Linked DNA regions of Caenorhabditis elegans. The protein of the gene in region 2 interacts with the protein of the main gene of each other region in a pairwise test. Each region holds a gene or a part of one and is shown on either strand. Other genes may lie near its edges.

Evidence for each region.
Region 1: the proteins of rabx-5 (region 2) and rabn-5 interact in a two-hybrid assay, tested with the Caenorhabditis elegans proteins (one study listed by BioGRID).

What each region holds. Positions count from the first base shown.
Region 1 is NC_003281.10:5,862,559-5,867,323, forward strand, and holds rabn-5 (FYVE-type domain-containing protein), read left to right. Parts: upstream 1-1,994; 5' UTR 1,995-1,998; coding exon 1,999-2,049; intron 2,050-2,098; coding exon 2,099-2,200; intron 2,201-2,254; coding exon 2,255-2,461; intron 2,462-2,510; coding exon 2,511-3,244; intron 3,245-3,597; coding exon 3,598-3,748; 3' UTR 3,749-3,981; downstream 3,982-4,765. Other genes in the region: dnpp-1 (Aspartyl aminopeptidase), read right to left, coding at 1-380, 430-847, 895-988, 1,040-1,150; eng-1 (mannosyl-glycoprotein endo-beta-N-acetylglucosaminidase), read right to left, coding at 3,982-4,198, 4,245-4,448, 4,638-4,765.
Region 2 is NC_003281.10:10,603,406-10,611,611, reverse strand, and holds the start of rabx-5 (Rab5 GDP/GTP exchange factor), read right to left. Parts: upstream 6,243-8,206; coding exon 6,180-6,242; intron 6,001-6,179; coding exon 5,885-6,000; intron 5,564-5,884; coding exon 5,463-5,563; intron 5,369-5,462; coding exon 5,317-5,368; intron 1,613-5,316; coding exon 1,056-1,612; intron 431-1,055; coding exon 293-430; intron 1-292. Other genes in the region: Y39A1A.2 (Reverse transcriptase domain-containing protein), read left to right, coding at 8,063-8,113, 8,193-8,206.

The DNA.
Region 1 (4,765 bases), 4.7 Mb from region 2:
TATCGAAGCATGCGGCAATACGAATTTGTGGGTCATTCTTGAATGACTCTCCAGTTAGAGACTCGAGAAGTCCACTTATCGCAGTGTATGTTCCAACTTGGTTATCAAGACGAGCTCCAGAAATGAATTCATCCTCCATTCCAACAATCGCAGCCTTGTTTGTATCGTAAAGGTAGAGATCCAAATCAACGATGTCTTCTGGCTGACATCCAGCTTCCTTCGCGATTAATCCGAGGAATTGGGGATGATGATTGTTGGTAATGTTTCGTGGATCGGCAAAACCAGTAGACTCGGGTTTCTGTGGTGCATTGATTCCAGCAGCAGCGAAGGTTTCCAGAATCGGGCGGAGCTCAGTTTCCGTGTTTGGTTTGAATGTTGTTCTGAGAAATAAATTGCAAAATTAGGACGATAGTGACAAATTTCAAATACCTGTCGGTCTCCAAATGAATCGCCAAATTTGGAATGAAAAGAACTGGCTTTTTCACGTCGATCAGCTTGTGTTGAAGTTTCTCTCCATTCTTGACAATAACCAATCCAGCCACCGACAAGTCACGGTCAAACCAGGTTCTCCAGATTCCACCTCCGTAAGTTGATACACCAACTTGAAGGAATTTATCAGACTTTTGGTGGGAAATTGGTTTGACACGGAGGCATGGACTGTCAGTGTGTCCCACAACAATCGAGAATCCACTCCCTGGCTTGTAAGATCCTCCAACAGCGAATGCAAGAATTGCAGAGCGGTTCTTGGTGACAAAGTATTTGCTGGTTGGCTGAATGTCCCAGTGACCCGATTCTGGAAGCTCTGTGAAACCGGCTTGTAGAAGGCGATCCTTCACTTCTTGGGTGGCTGCAATTGATATACTTTTGAATATAAAAATAAATAATAAATATTACCATGAAATGGAGTAACTGCTTTATTCAGATAGTTGATGAACTCTTGTGCAGCTTTGCGGATCTCCGGAGCACTTGGTTTCAGAGCAGCGGCCATCTAAATTAAATAAACTTATTTATGAAAAGACAAAGAAAGAATAGTGAAAACCTTTTTGGGTTGATAGCTGGTATTGGGCTCAATTTCATGTTTTGGATAGCAGCCGCACACTACTTTCAATTTTTCGGAAATACGATTTTTTCGAAACGACTTCTTTGTCATGATTCAAACTCAAAATGAATTGAGCCCAATATTTTACTACCATCGGAGTGAAAATGAAAAAAGATAAGACAAAATGTTGCATAAAATTTGAATCTGGAATGATTTTCTATAAGCGATAAACGGTTAGTTTCTACTGGGCGAAAGTTCGAGAGAAGAATATGTGGTGCTGATTATCAAAAATGCGTTATCAGTGATAGTTATCAAGGTTTCTAATAGAAAGAATCAAAAATGAAGGAAAAGATAATGGAGAAGACATGAGAAAAGCGAAAAGATCAGGAATTATTTGAGGAAAGTTAGTGAAAAAAAAATTGACAGGAAAAAAACGTCGGAAAATTTTAGAAATCGAAAAGAAGAAAAGAACAATTTTTAACGTAGAGTAGTACTGTATTCAAGGCGCAACGCTTAAATCATTTTTTGGGTCCTGGAAAGAAAACTACAATAGCTGGAAATGTTCTGAACTTTGAATATAATTATAAATTTTATATATAAAATTTTGTTCATCTTGATTTTTCAGAGCGATATATTGTTTATAAATAGAATGATTTTTACTACAAATTTTTAAATTTTTATGAATAAAAAATAAATTAAACATATAATAACATTTTCATAACTCAACAGAATGAAATATGTTTATTTCACTCCAGAAAACATTTACTTTTCTCTTGGAAGTCGTTTAATGAAATTAATACTAAAACTGCTCGATTATTATGTTTAATGCTCTTTAAATGTGTCACCAAATGGCCTAGGTTTTCAACCTAGTCCTTGCCAACATTGTGATGAGACCTTTTTTATTTAATTAATCAAATGACTCATATATTTTTCGAATAAATCAAGAATTTTCTAGAAAAATGACAGAACCGTCGGCTAGCGAAGAAGTGTCTGCCGGAGTGAATGCAGAGGTAAGAGTGTTGCATTTTAATCGATAATTCAAAGACCCTTAAATTTCAGGAGCCGCCAATACCGTCCAAAAAGATTTCGCAAGTCTCACCGAATCCAACGCTTCAATGCGAAATGTGCCAGAATTATGAAGTGAATTTGACTGCATTACAGGTGAGAATCATGGGAACACGGCAAATATGCAAATGATTTTTGTTTGTTTTGCAGGAAAACGAACGAAAGTTAAAGGAAGAAGTGAAGGCGGCAATGGAGTTGAACGAAAGATATCAATTGGATTTGAGCAATGAACGAGACTATCGAAAAGAATTGGAAAAGAAAATGAACGAATTATCGACTAATTGTTTGAATCAGGTTAACGAGGCGGCAAAGGCAAATGCCAAGTCGGAGCAGCGGCTGGACGAGCTCAGTGCGAAGGTATTTTAAATAAATAAAAAGAATAACTTTTAAAAAAGCTTAATTTCAGCACGACAAATCGATAGAAGTATTCACTGATCAATTGAATTTGGCTCGTGACAAACTGCAACAAGCCGACGATGACTTTGTTACATTAGGAAAAAAGTACAAAAAGCTTCTCGGGTCCACACGAAAATCAGCACAAGAACTTCGGTCCGAGAAAATCGATATGCCAGCTGATCTTGATCAATTACAATTTATTTGTCTCAAGAATAGGGAAGAATTGATAGAAACTCGAGCTGCAAAAGAGCACACCGAGCAGCAGCTGCAGGATGAGATCACCGTCCTGCGAGCTCAGATTCTAGAAGAAAGAGCGCACAGAGAAGATCAGGAAGTGACATTTACTGCAGAGATCAGCAGATTGCAGTCGGAATTAGGAAAGATCAACACTCGAATGGTTGTTGCATCGGAAACAATTGCAGATCAAGATTCGAATATCAGACAAATTAGAGATCTTCAAACAACTGTCGGTGAACTTGAGACGCAGGTTCAGCAGGTTCAAAATGAGAGAGCCGCTGTTGAACAGACGGCACAGAACTACAAGCAACGGTGCACAAGTCTTCAACAAGAACTCGACACATCTGAAGTTGTGCAGAGAGATTTTGTGAAATTATCTCAAAGCCTCCAAATTCAATTGGAGAAGATTCGACAGTCGGAACAAGAAGTACGATGGCAATGGGATGATGATGTAGATCAATGCTCAAATTGTGATACATCGTTTGCTAGAGTTAAAGTTAAACCTCAGTAAGTTTTTGAAAATGGAAGTTTGAATTTCTGATAAAAAATTACAAGAAAATTATTTTCTTCATTTTCAAAAATAAATTTTACACTTTTCCAATTAAAATATGTCAAACAGAAGATTTTAAAAAGAAAAAAAATATATAGTGATTATGAATCAAGCGTTCGGTACCCTTTCTTAAAACGACCTAAAATATTTTTAAAAAAAGGCTTCGAAAAATAAAAAATCACGCATAGTTTTCCAGAAATAGCAGATTTTTATAAGGAAAAATTTTTAAAAAAGTGCGAAAAATAAGAGATAGCACTATTTTACTTTTTCATGGAATATTTCAGTCACTTTTATTTTTCAAATCTTTTAGCTGTCTTCATTGTGGTCGGATATTCTGCATGAACTGCCTGAAAGACACCGTTCCAAGTGGACCAAATCATCGACCAGCCAATGTGTGCAAAGTATGTCACACACTGCTCAATCGGGATACAAAACCATTCTTTGCAACGCAGGATAAGTAATAATTCATCTGGAATGCTTATTCTGTCGCTGATTATCCACAACTCGCCCTTCCAATTTCACTTTCGCCACCTTTTCCCGATTTTATATGTGCATCATCCGTGTGCTAGAATGTCTAGTCTTTTAATTCTTGTACAATGCTTAATCTATTCTATATACGTACATATATACCAGAAATTGATCTAAAATTGTGCATTAAAATTTGTTTTATTGACTTTTATGAAATTAGAATTATTTAATTAGAATCAATGGAAAAGTTTTCGATCACAGTTTCGTCGTTGCTTGATGTCAAGATGCTGATGGATTCCAAATTTCCTGGCTTGTCAATATGCCACGTGGAATCTCCGGTTTTGTCCATAATTTCAGATCTATTCAGAAGCAGGTCAATTGAATTGGAAGTAGTGCAAGTTATGGTCAGGGTACTGTAGTTGACAGAATCGAAAGTGAATAGTCTGGAAAAAATTATAATGAGTAAATTTTTGTATGTTCATAACTTACAGAAATTTTCGATTTCTGCCAAAAAGAGTGAGTCCTGTAGAGTCAATTACTTGGTGGCAGAAGGAGCTTAAAATTTGAGGCTGAAGCTGCACTGTGCTCAGGCGGTAGTGCCAATTTTGATCCATTCCAGTACAGAAGTTGGTGCCAAAGTTTATAGAAGTTAGAGGACGAGTTCGGATGTGTGGAAGAAGTTTGGACCAGAAGCTGGAATTAAATTAAAATTTCAATAAAACTTAAATTGTGGAATTTTTCTGAAAAAAATCCTAATGTAGAATTTTCTAGTTGGAAATAAATTAAATTTCAAAAATTATGTTTTTTATAAATTTATATTTTTATCGGGGTACTGTAGTCTTTTTTTTCTGATTTTTCAATTTTATTTTCAAAAAACCTTACTGAATTCCTTTGCAAATTTGATTTTCCTCAGGAAACTTTTCATAAATCCATCCGGGTGCAAAAAGAGCAACTGACATGTGAAAAAGTTTTGCCAATGCAAATGACTGATCACAATGAAATTCTCCAAC
Region 2 (8,206 bases):
TTAGAACTTTTTGGTTTTTATAGACGTAAAATAACCCCGAAAGTGTGGATTTTTTATATGAAAATTTTCAAAAATATGTAAAAAAAAAGTTCAGGAGGTTGAAAATATTGAAAAAGGGCCAAATTCGCCTAAAATCTTCAACATGGAATAATTTTTTTAATTAAAAAAAATAATTTTCCGGTCGCCTGGACCAGTGAAAATTGGCCAAATTGAAGATTTTAAATTGCAGAATCTAGTTTTTTCTATAAAAATTTTTTTTCGAGAATTTTGGATGCTTAATTCAAATATTCACCAGCTTCTCCACTCATAAGCCTCGCTGGAATTGCAAATCTTGATATAAATTTGACATTTGATTGAATTAACGGCGGATTTCCACGGAATAAAACGTATATTAGTGTTGGCAGGAATTCGTCAGCCGATGTTGAAGCTTCTGAAAATTTTTGATTTTTGAAACAGGTGATTTTTTTTTGGTCTTTTGGGATTGAATTCATAAATATTTGGCTTTCTTGGAATTTTTTTCGGAAAATTCGTTCAGAAATTTTTTAAAAATCTGTTATTAAACTATTTCGATGAAATTTTACTCTTTTTTTTTCAAATTCCACTAACTTATTGTTAGGAAATACATTTTAAAAACAAAAAACCGGATTTTTGAAGTTTTTCGGCGAATTTTTTGATTGAAATTTTTTTTCCAATTTAATTTCCAATTTTTCCAATTCCAATAAAGTCCAGGAAATTTGTACGAAATTATGTTTGATGCTGAAAAAAAATTTATTTAAATAGAAAAAAACTTAAATTTCGTCAAAATTCCAAATGTTAAAAAAATATATATTTTTCCAAATTTTTTTTTCAAATTTCATGTATTTGAAATAATTTTAATTTGAAAAATTTAAAAAATTGAATAAAAAAGTTGTCTGAAAACTGGAAATTATACACTTTTTAAATAGAAAATAATTTCTTTTTTTTTCAGAAAAATAAACCGATTTTTCTGTTTTTTTTTTGTTGATATTTATCATTAAAATTTTTATAAATCTGTTCCAGATAAAATAAAAACTCACCACTCTCCTTAAGCGCCTCAAAAATCGCCTTACAAGATTTCGTCAAACAATCAAGCTTCTCAAATGCAGATCGTTTTGCATTAATCTCAATAAGTTCCGAAATAGCTTCATCAATTTTATCTCGAACCGTTTGTTTCTTAAAAACCATCTTAGTTTCCAGAAATCCAGCAGTAACCCAGTGAAGTGATCGAATACGGTCTTGCAACGACATATCAGCTACTTCTTCTTCATGATTTGCACAAAAGAATATTGAATAACAAAATGTTGATATATACTTTTCCACTTGGTCCATCACATCTTCCACTTTAACTTTACAATCCGGTGAATCAAATAACGAATGTCCACCGATTCGTTCTCCAAGATATTGATAATAACTCATTACAAGTTCTGACATATCATCTGAGCTCATTCTCATTTCTGAGATCTTATTCACCGCGTTTTTCACTGAACGAGCAATTTCTTGAGCCATTCCTGTTGAGAGATTCGCTACGAGAAAATCGGTGAATTGTTGACGGGCTTCCAGAGAATCCGGGGAGAGTTCTCGACGTCTGGAATGACTTTTATTTGGTTTACTTTGAAATTCAATTTGAAATGTTTGATATAACAAATTTGATAAAACAATTTAAGATTTCGCAGAGGTTAAATTAAAACAACTATTTTTTTTAATATAACAAATTTTTATTTTTGACTGAGTTTTTGATTTTTGAAACATGTGATCTTCTCGGTCGTTTGGTATTGAATTCATAAATATTTAATTTTCTTGATTTTTTTGATTTTTAAATGTAAAAAAAAACGGTTTTTATTATTGAAATACATTTCTGACGTCACAGCCGTATTAAAATACATGTTTGTATGTTATTTAATACAGTTGTGACATAATTTTTCTACACTTTTCAATTTTTGACACTATTTGTATAACCACATTTGTTTTTACTTTTTAAACGATTTCAGAGAAGTTTTCAGAAATTTCAGAATTCCAAGAATTTTAACAATAATCTAGGCTGATTTCAGACTTTAAAGGACATTTTCAGAGGCTTCTAGTAAATATTTCGTTTCAAACAAATTCCCATAATTTCCAAATTTTCTGAACATTTTTTCATGATTCTAAAAAATATTTTTAGAAAACTTCACATAATCCTTTATACTGTTTCAGACTATGCAAACAATTATTTTTGAAAATTTCAGATATTTACATTTATGATTTATATTTTACAGAATATGAATTTATACATTACAAAAAAATAAAATAAGCCGTTGATATTTAATTTCGGTATTTTTTATTTGCTTCGATTATTTGGGATATCTATTTTGGATAGTTAAACACCCGTTTATTGAACTTAGAATTTTTTTTATCATTTGGAAAATATCAGTAGGTTCTATTTATATCAGAGGTGGGCGGATATTTTTTCGGATATTTTCTAATAATGAATTTATCAATAAGTATTGATGTAGTTATTCTGGAAGAAATGTATCCGAACAAAAGAGTAACTATTAAGCAACATTTTAATATGATAAAACCTAGAAAAATTCTACAAGTTTTCTGTATAAACGATATGCAAGTCCATTATCCGATATCCGTAATATCCGTAATATCCGATATCCGATGTTGCTCGGCTAATAAGTTTTAAGGTCTCGGTAAGGAAAACTTGTAGAATTTTTCTAGGGATTATCATATTAAATGTTGCTTAATAGTTACTCTTTGGTTCGGATACATGTCTTCCAGAATAACTACATCGATACTTATTGATAAATTCATTATTAGAAAATATCCGAAAAAATATCCGCCCACCTCTGATTGGTATTTAATGATTTGAGAAATGCTGTAAATTTCTAAAGTCCAAATTTTTTGAAAATTTGCCATTTTCCCCCAGTTTTACTAATTTTTTTACTATTTGAAGCTACTTTAATTTCCCAAATTCCAGAAATAACGAATTCTTTTTTCAAATTGTCAATTTCAATTAATAGAAACTACTCTATTATGCCATGCAAATTTCATCTGAATATGCACTTTTCTTTTGTCCCACGAGTGGTGAGCACAATGACTAACCAAGTAGTTCATGTACTTTTCAGGAACAGAAGCAAAAAGTGTGCTCTCTCCGTGTCTTTCCAAGCTCGGCGAGCTCCTCTCAATTACATTTTCTTTTTTTTCTTCTTTAGGAGAGAAGCTGCTCTCGAAAACAAGGAGAACGTGTCAACGAGAAATGGAAAAAGGAAAAAGAATTCTCAGAATTGTTAGACAAATGAGTCAGTGATTAATTAGTTATTCATTCACAAGAAAGTTGAACTTTTTCTTTCAGACAAACATGTTCTTTGATATAATATTATGTGGCGATATGAATTTTTTATTACTTCCTGGAAACCGAAAAACACTGTTAGAAAATTTTTCCTTTTTTTTTCGATTTTTCTCAAAATAAAACCGAAAACTCGAAAAAAAAAATTGGTGTCAAATTTGCTCAAAAAAGGTGCAATTTTTTTGAATGAGAAATGCCAATTTTGGAGTGGTTTTAGGATTTTTTTTTGGGTTCTGCCAAATACGAAAATTGTTTGTATTTCGGTTTTGATTTAAAAATTCGAAATAAAAAACTTTTTTATCCTAAAGTCCTATAAAAATCGATTTTTTTCCACAAAAAATTGACTCCAAATCTAGTTAAAATAGCTAAAAATTTAATATTAAAAATCATAATAATTAATTTTTTTAGTCAATTCAAAAGTTATGCTTACTATTAGGGTTTTTTATACAATTTTGATCAGAAAGAGGTTCAAAAAAATTGATTACAAAATTGAACTTTATCTTAGAAATGAGATTTCAGGTACATATTAATACGAATTTTTTGAAAAATTGTTCTATACTTAGTGCTCTAGAAACCTCAATTATAGGCTAAAATTCTACTTTTAAAGTCAATTTTCCAGTGAAATTAGATGAAAATTACAGGTAATTTTAGAACAAAAAAACTCTGAAAAGCTTTAGAAAATTCAAAACTTCAGTTTGAAACTTGAATTTTCAGCAATATTCTCTAGGTTTTGAGCTAATTTTTGGTAATTTCCGCACTTTCAGACTGCTCTAAAAGCATTTTCTCTGATTTTTGCATTGAAAATCCCCCTAAAAACCCCATTTTCCAACTGAAAAAAGTCTCAAAAGATCGAAATCTAAGTGCCCTTAGAATGTAGTTCTCTCCTTCTTCTTACGCACCACTTCTCATTTTGTATTCGGTCACGCAGACAGAGAAAGAGGGGAGATTATACATCTAAAATTGCTCGTTTTGAACTCAAATTTTTCAGAAATTAATGTTCTTAGAATATATTTTCTTCTAGAAAATATAGCGTAGTGACTGAAAAAGGAATTGAACAAATTGCATATATATTTTTTCAATTTTGCAAAAAAAAAATCAAGCCATGTTTGAATTCCCAGGCAAACGTTGTTTCGAACTATACAGTTTTCAAAAATTGACCGATAATTTAAAACTGTTTTTCAAAATTGCAAATTTATGAAAAATTCTACTTTTTAAAGCATTTTTTTAAATTTCGAGAATATGTTTTATAAACCTTTCAAAATGAATTTCCAGGGTTTTTCAAACATTTTTCAGTCATTTTCAGACTTTTCCCTCTTTTTTTCCCAAATCAAATCACAAAAAATAACTCTCTATTCCCGTCCGACTAAAGCTCATCGTCTATTCGTATAGAGAAAAAAGTGGCAGAGATGCATAAATATATACACAGCAGCTGTATATAGAATAACAACTCTATCGTAAACAAAAAACAACAACAACCACTAATTCTCAGATTTTTTGCCCACTTTTTGACAGAAATTGGCCTAAATTTTAGAGTCCAAAAACTGGTAAAATTGCGGAAAAAAAGATATTTTAGAAAAAAAAACTTTAATAATCTTGAATCCAAAAACATCTTTTACGTCTAAAATAACCTAAATATGCTCGAAATCGCGGAAAAATTGGTTTTTGTTTTGCAGACAACGGCCTCAAAACTGGAAAAATAGTAGAAAATTGTTGAAAATTTGTCTGAAATCCTCAAAAAAAAATCTGAATTTTTATCTAAAATCACCCGAAAATCGGTTAAAATCACTTTTCCTGAATATTTTGTTTTAAAAAAAACTCGAAATTATTGAAAATTGGCTTTGAAAATTACAAAATCACTCGAAAACCAGTGAAAAGGTCTATAATTTGCTTTAAAATTTGAAAAAATCAACAGAACTTTTTTAAACCACCTAAAATTTTTTTTTATACTATAAAATTTCTTAAAAACCCACCGAGTTGGTGTGCTCGCCGGTGACGTGGAAGTTGGTGAACTGGTTCCGCCTTCTGAAAAATAGCAAATTTTAAAACTTTTTTCAAAAAAAAAATCTGTGGCCGAGTTTTTCTTTTCACGGCCACGTAGCAAAATCCCCACACTTACCTGGAATCGGAGACGTTTTAAACAGATTTTTGATGCCACGTGACTTGCTTTCTGTTGTCGATTTACGCCGCTCTTGGAATTGATCGAAACTTAGAAGAGATCTGGAAAAAAGGGATATTTGAGCGGAAAATTAGGTTTTTTTTTTTCTGAAATTTGAAAATTTTTTTTTCGAATTTTCAGCGATTTTTTCTTGGAATTTCAGGGGTTTTTTATTTTTATTTTAACGATATTTTTCTGAAATTTCCACGAATTTTCTTGGAATTTCAGGTTTTTTCTGAGATTTTAGATTTTTTCCTTATATTTCAAGGTATTTTCGTGGAATTATGAAATTTTTTTTTTAATTTTAGAGTTTTTTTTTTTGGAATTTTTCTTTAAAAAAGTATTCAAAATTCGAATTTAGGCATTTTTTTTCAATTTTTTACCTATTCTTCGCAAAATCCTGACATTTTTTCATCTCATTCTGATGAGCTCTCCAACATTTTGAGCAACGATTCTCCCACTGTGGGGTCCCGTAGAATCCGCATCCATTGACACATAACTGCAAAAAGAAATTGATTTTTATTCAAAAATGAATATAAACGATGCTCCGATATTCCGCCTTTAAAAATTGGGTTACTGTAATTTCAAAAAATCTTGATTTTTTAAATTTTCATTTATTTTTTTTATTTTTTCAGGAAAAATTAATATTGGAAATTTTAAAAATAGGAAAAAACTCACTAAATCATTAGCTTTTAAATGCATTTTTGCTTTCTTGTCCTCCTCGCCATGCTTATCTGACATTACTTTGTGGGGTGTTTGAAACTGAAAAATTTTTAATTTTTTCATGAAGAAAAAAACAATTTTAAAAATGAGAATTAAGGGTCGAAGAAAATATAAAACTACAGTTCAAATTAAAGAAAAAATAATTTTAACACAATTATTTTTCGAAAAATCACACAAAAATTGAAAATTTCGAAAAAAACTGACTTTAGAGATTTTGCGAAAGCTTATTAATTATTTTTTAAAAAATCTGATGTTTCAGATTAAAAAAAAATTAAAATTAGTTGAAAAATTGGATTTTTTTGATTTTCCAATTTTTTTCAATTGTATTTATTTTAAAAGTAAATTAAAAAAAACATTTTTTCCTTAAAATTTATAAATTATCTGAAATTTCTGAAGCTGAATTTCTAATCTAAATTTGAATTGAAGGAAAATGATAATAATAAATTCTAGACTAATAAAACATTACATCTTCGGCAAAAAAAATAAATTAAAGAGGTTTTTGAGCCAATTTATTTTAAATTATCCAACTTTTCAGTCCAATTTTCAGTGAAAATTCAATTTTTAATCAAATCAAGTTTTTGGAAGTAAAAAAAAATAAATTTAAACATAAAATCTAGAATTTCTGTCAATTTTTAATTAAAAATCGACCAAAAACCAAGAAAAATGGACCCAGGAGGGTTCTATTGGTGCTAAAGTTGTCCCCGTCTGGCAGGGAAACTCAAGCCGAAGATGGAGGAGGGCTCTACGCGGTCACAAGTTCGCTTCTCTGCGTCTTCACACTCTCATCCTCGATTACTCAGTCTTCATGGAAGCTCCGCCTCCATCGTGCTTTGAAAGCTGGAAACAGCTGCTCGTTCTGAAAAGATCGAGAGGACATACTCGGAAATCCGATTTTTTCGGAAATTGGTTTTCAGAGCGTGCCACCAGCCATGAACTTTTGAATACATACACAATCTGGGGGAATTGTTAGAACGAATACAATGAAAATTTCCTGGAAAATGGGGATTTCCATGTGGATCAATCAAAATTTTGAAGAAAAAAAGCTAGTTTTCGAAGAAATTTTTTGTTTTTGTGTTTGCCCATCAAATTCAACTTATTTCGGAGTTTCCACCAAATTTTACAGGATTTTTCTTTCAAATTTGCAAAAAAAAGTTACATTTTTTAGCAAAAAACTATTTTTTGTTTAAATTGTTCTGCGCATTTTTTAAATCTTATTTTAGAGATTTTTTCTCGGATTACAAAATTGATTTATTACGGTAACACAAAATTCTGAGAATGCGTATTACACAGAACATCTGCCGCGCAAAATATCTCGAAGCGAAAACTACGGTAGTTCTTTAAATGACTACAGTAGCACTTGTGTCGATTTACGGGCTAGATTTTTGTAATGAATTTATTTATCGATAGAACATTTTTTTAAAAAGCAAAAAAATGAGACTATTATCCGAAGAAATATTCGAAAAGAAATTCATATCAAAAAATCGAAAAAAACTAATTTTTCGATATGAATTTGTTTTCAAATATTTCATCGGATAATAGTCTCATTTTTTTGCTTTTTAAATAAATGTTCTATCGATAAATAAATTCATTACAAAAATCGAGCCCGTAAATCGACACAAGTGCTACTGTAGTCATTTAAAGAACTACCGTAGTTTTCGCTTCGAGATATTTTGCGAGTCAGATGTTCTGTGTAATACGCATTCTCAGAATTTTTTAATACCCGTAAAAATTCCTAAAAATAATTACGTGGGGATTTATCGATTAAAAAAATTCAAAACTTTTGACGTGGTGTTTTTAAGTGAAAAACCGTAAAATTGAATTATTTCAATATTTTCAAAATGAGCAGCGAAGGATCGATTGTTCCTATCAAACTTGCACAACGATTTATTGTAAGAATTTTTTTTTAATTTATTGATTTTTCCGCAATTTTCCAACCAAAAAACTAGTATTTAATCGATTTTCTTTCAGCACGTTATCGATTT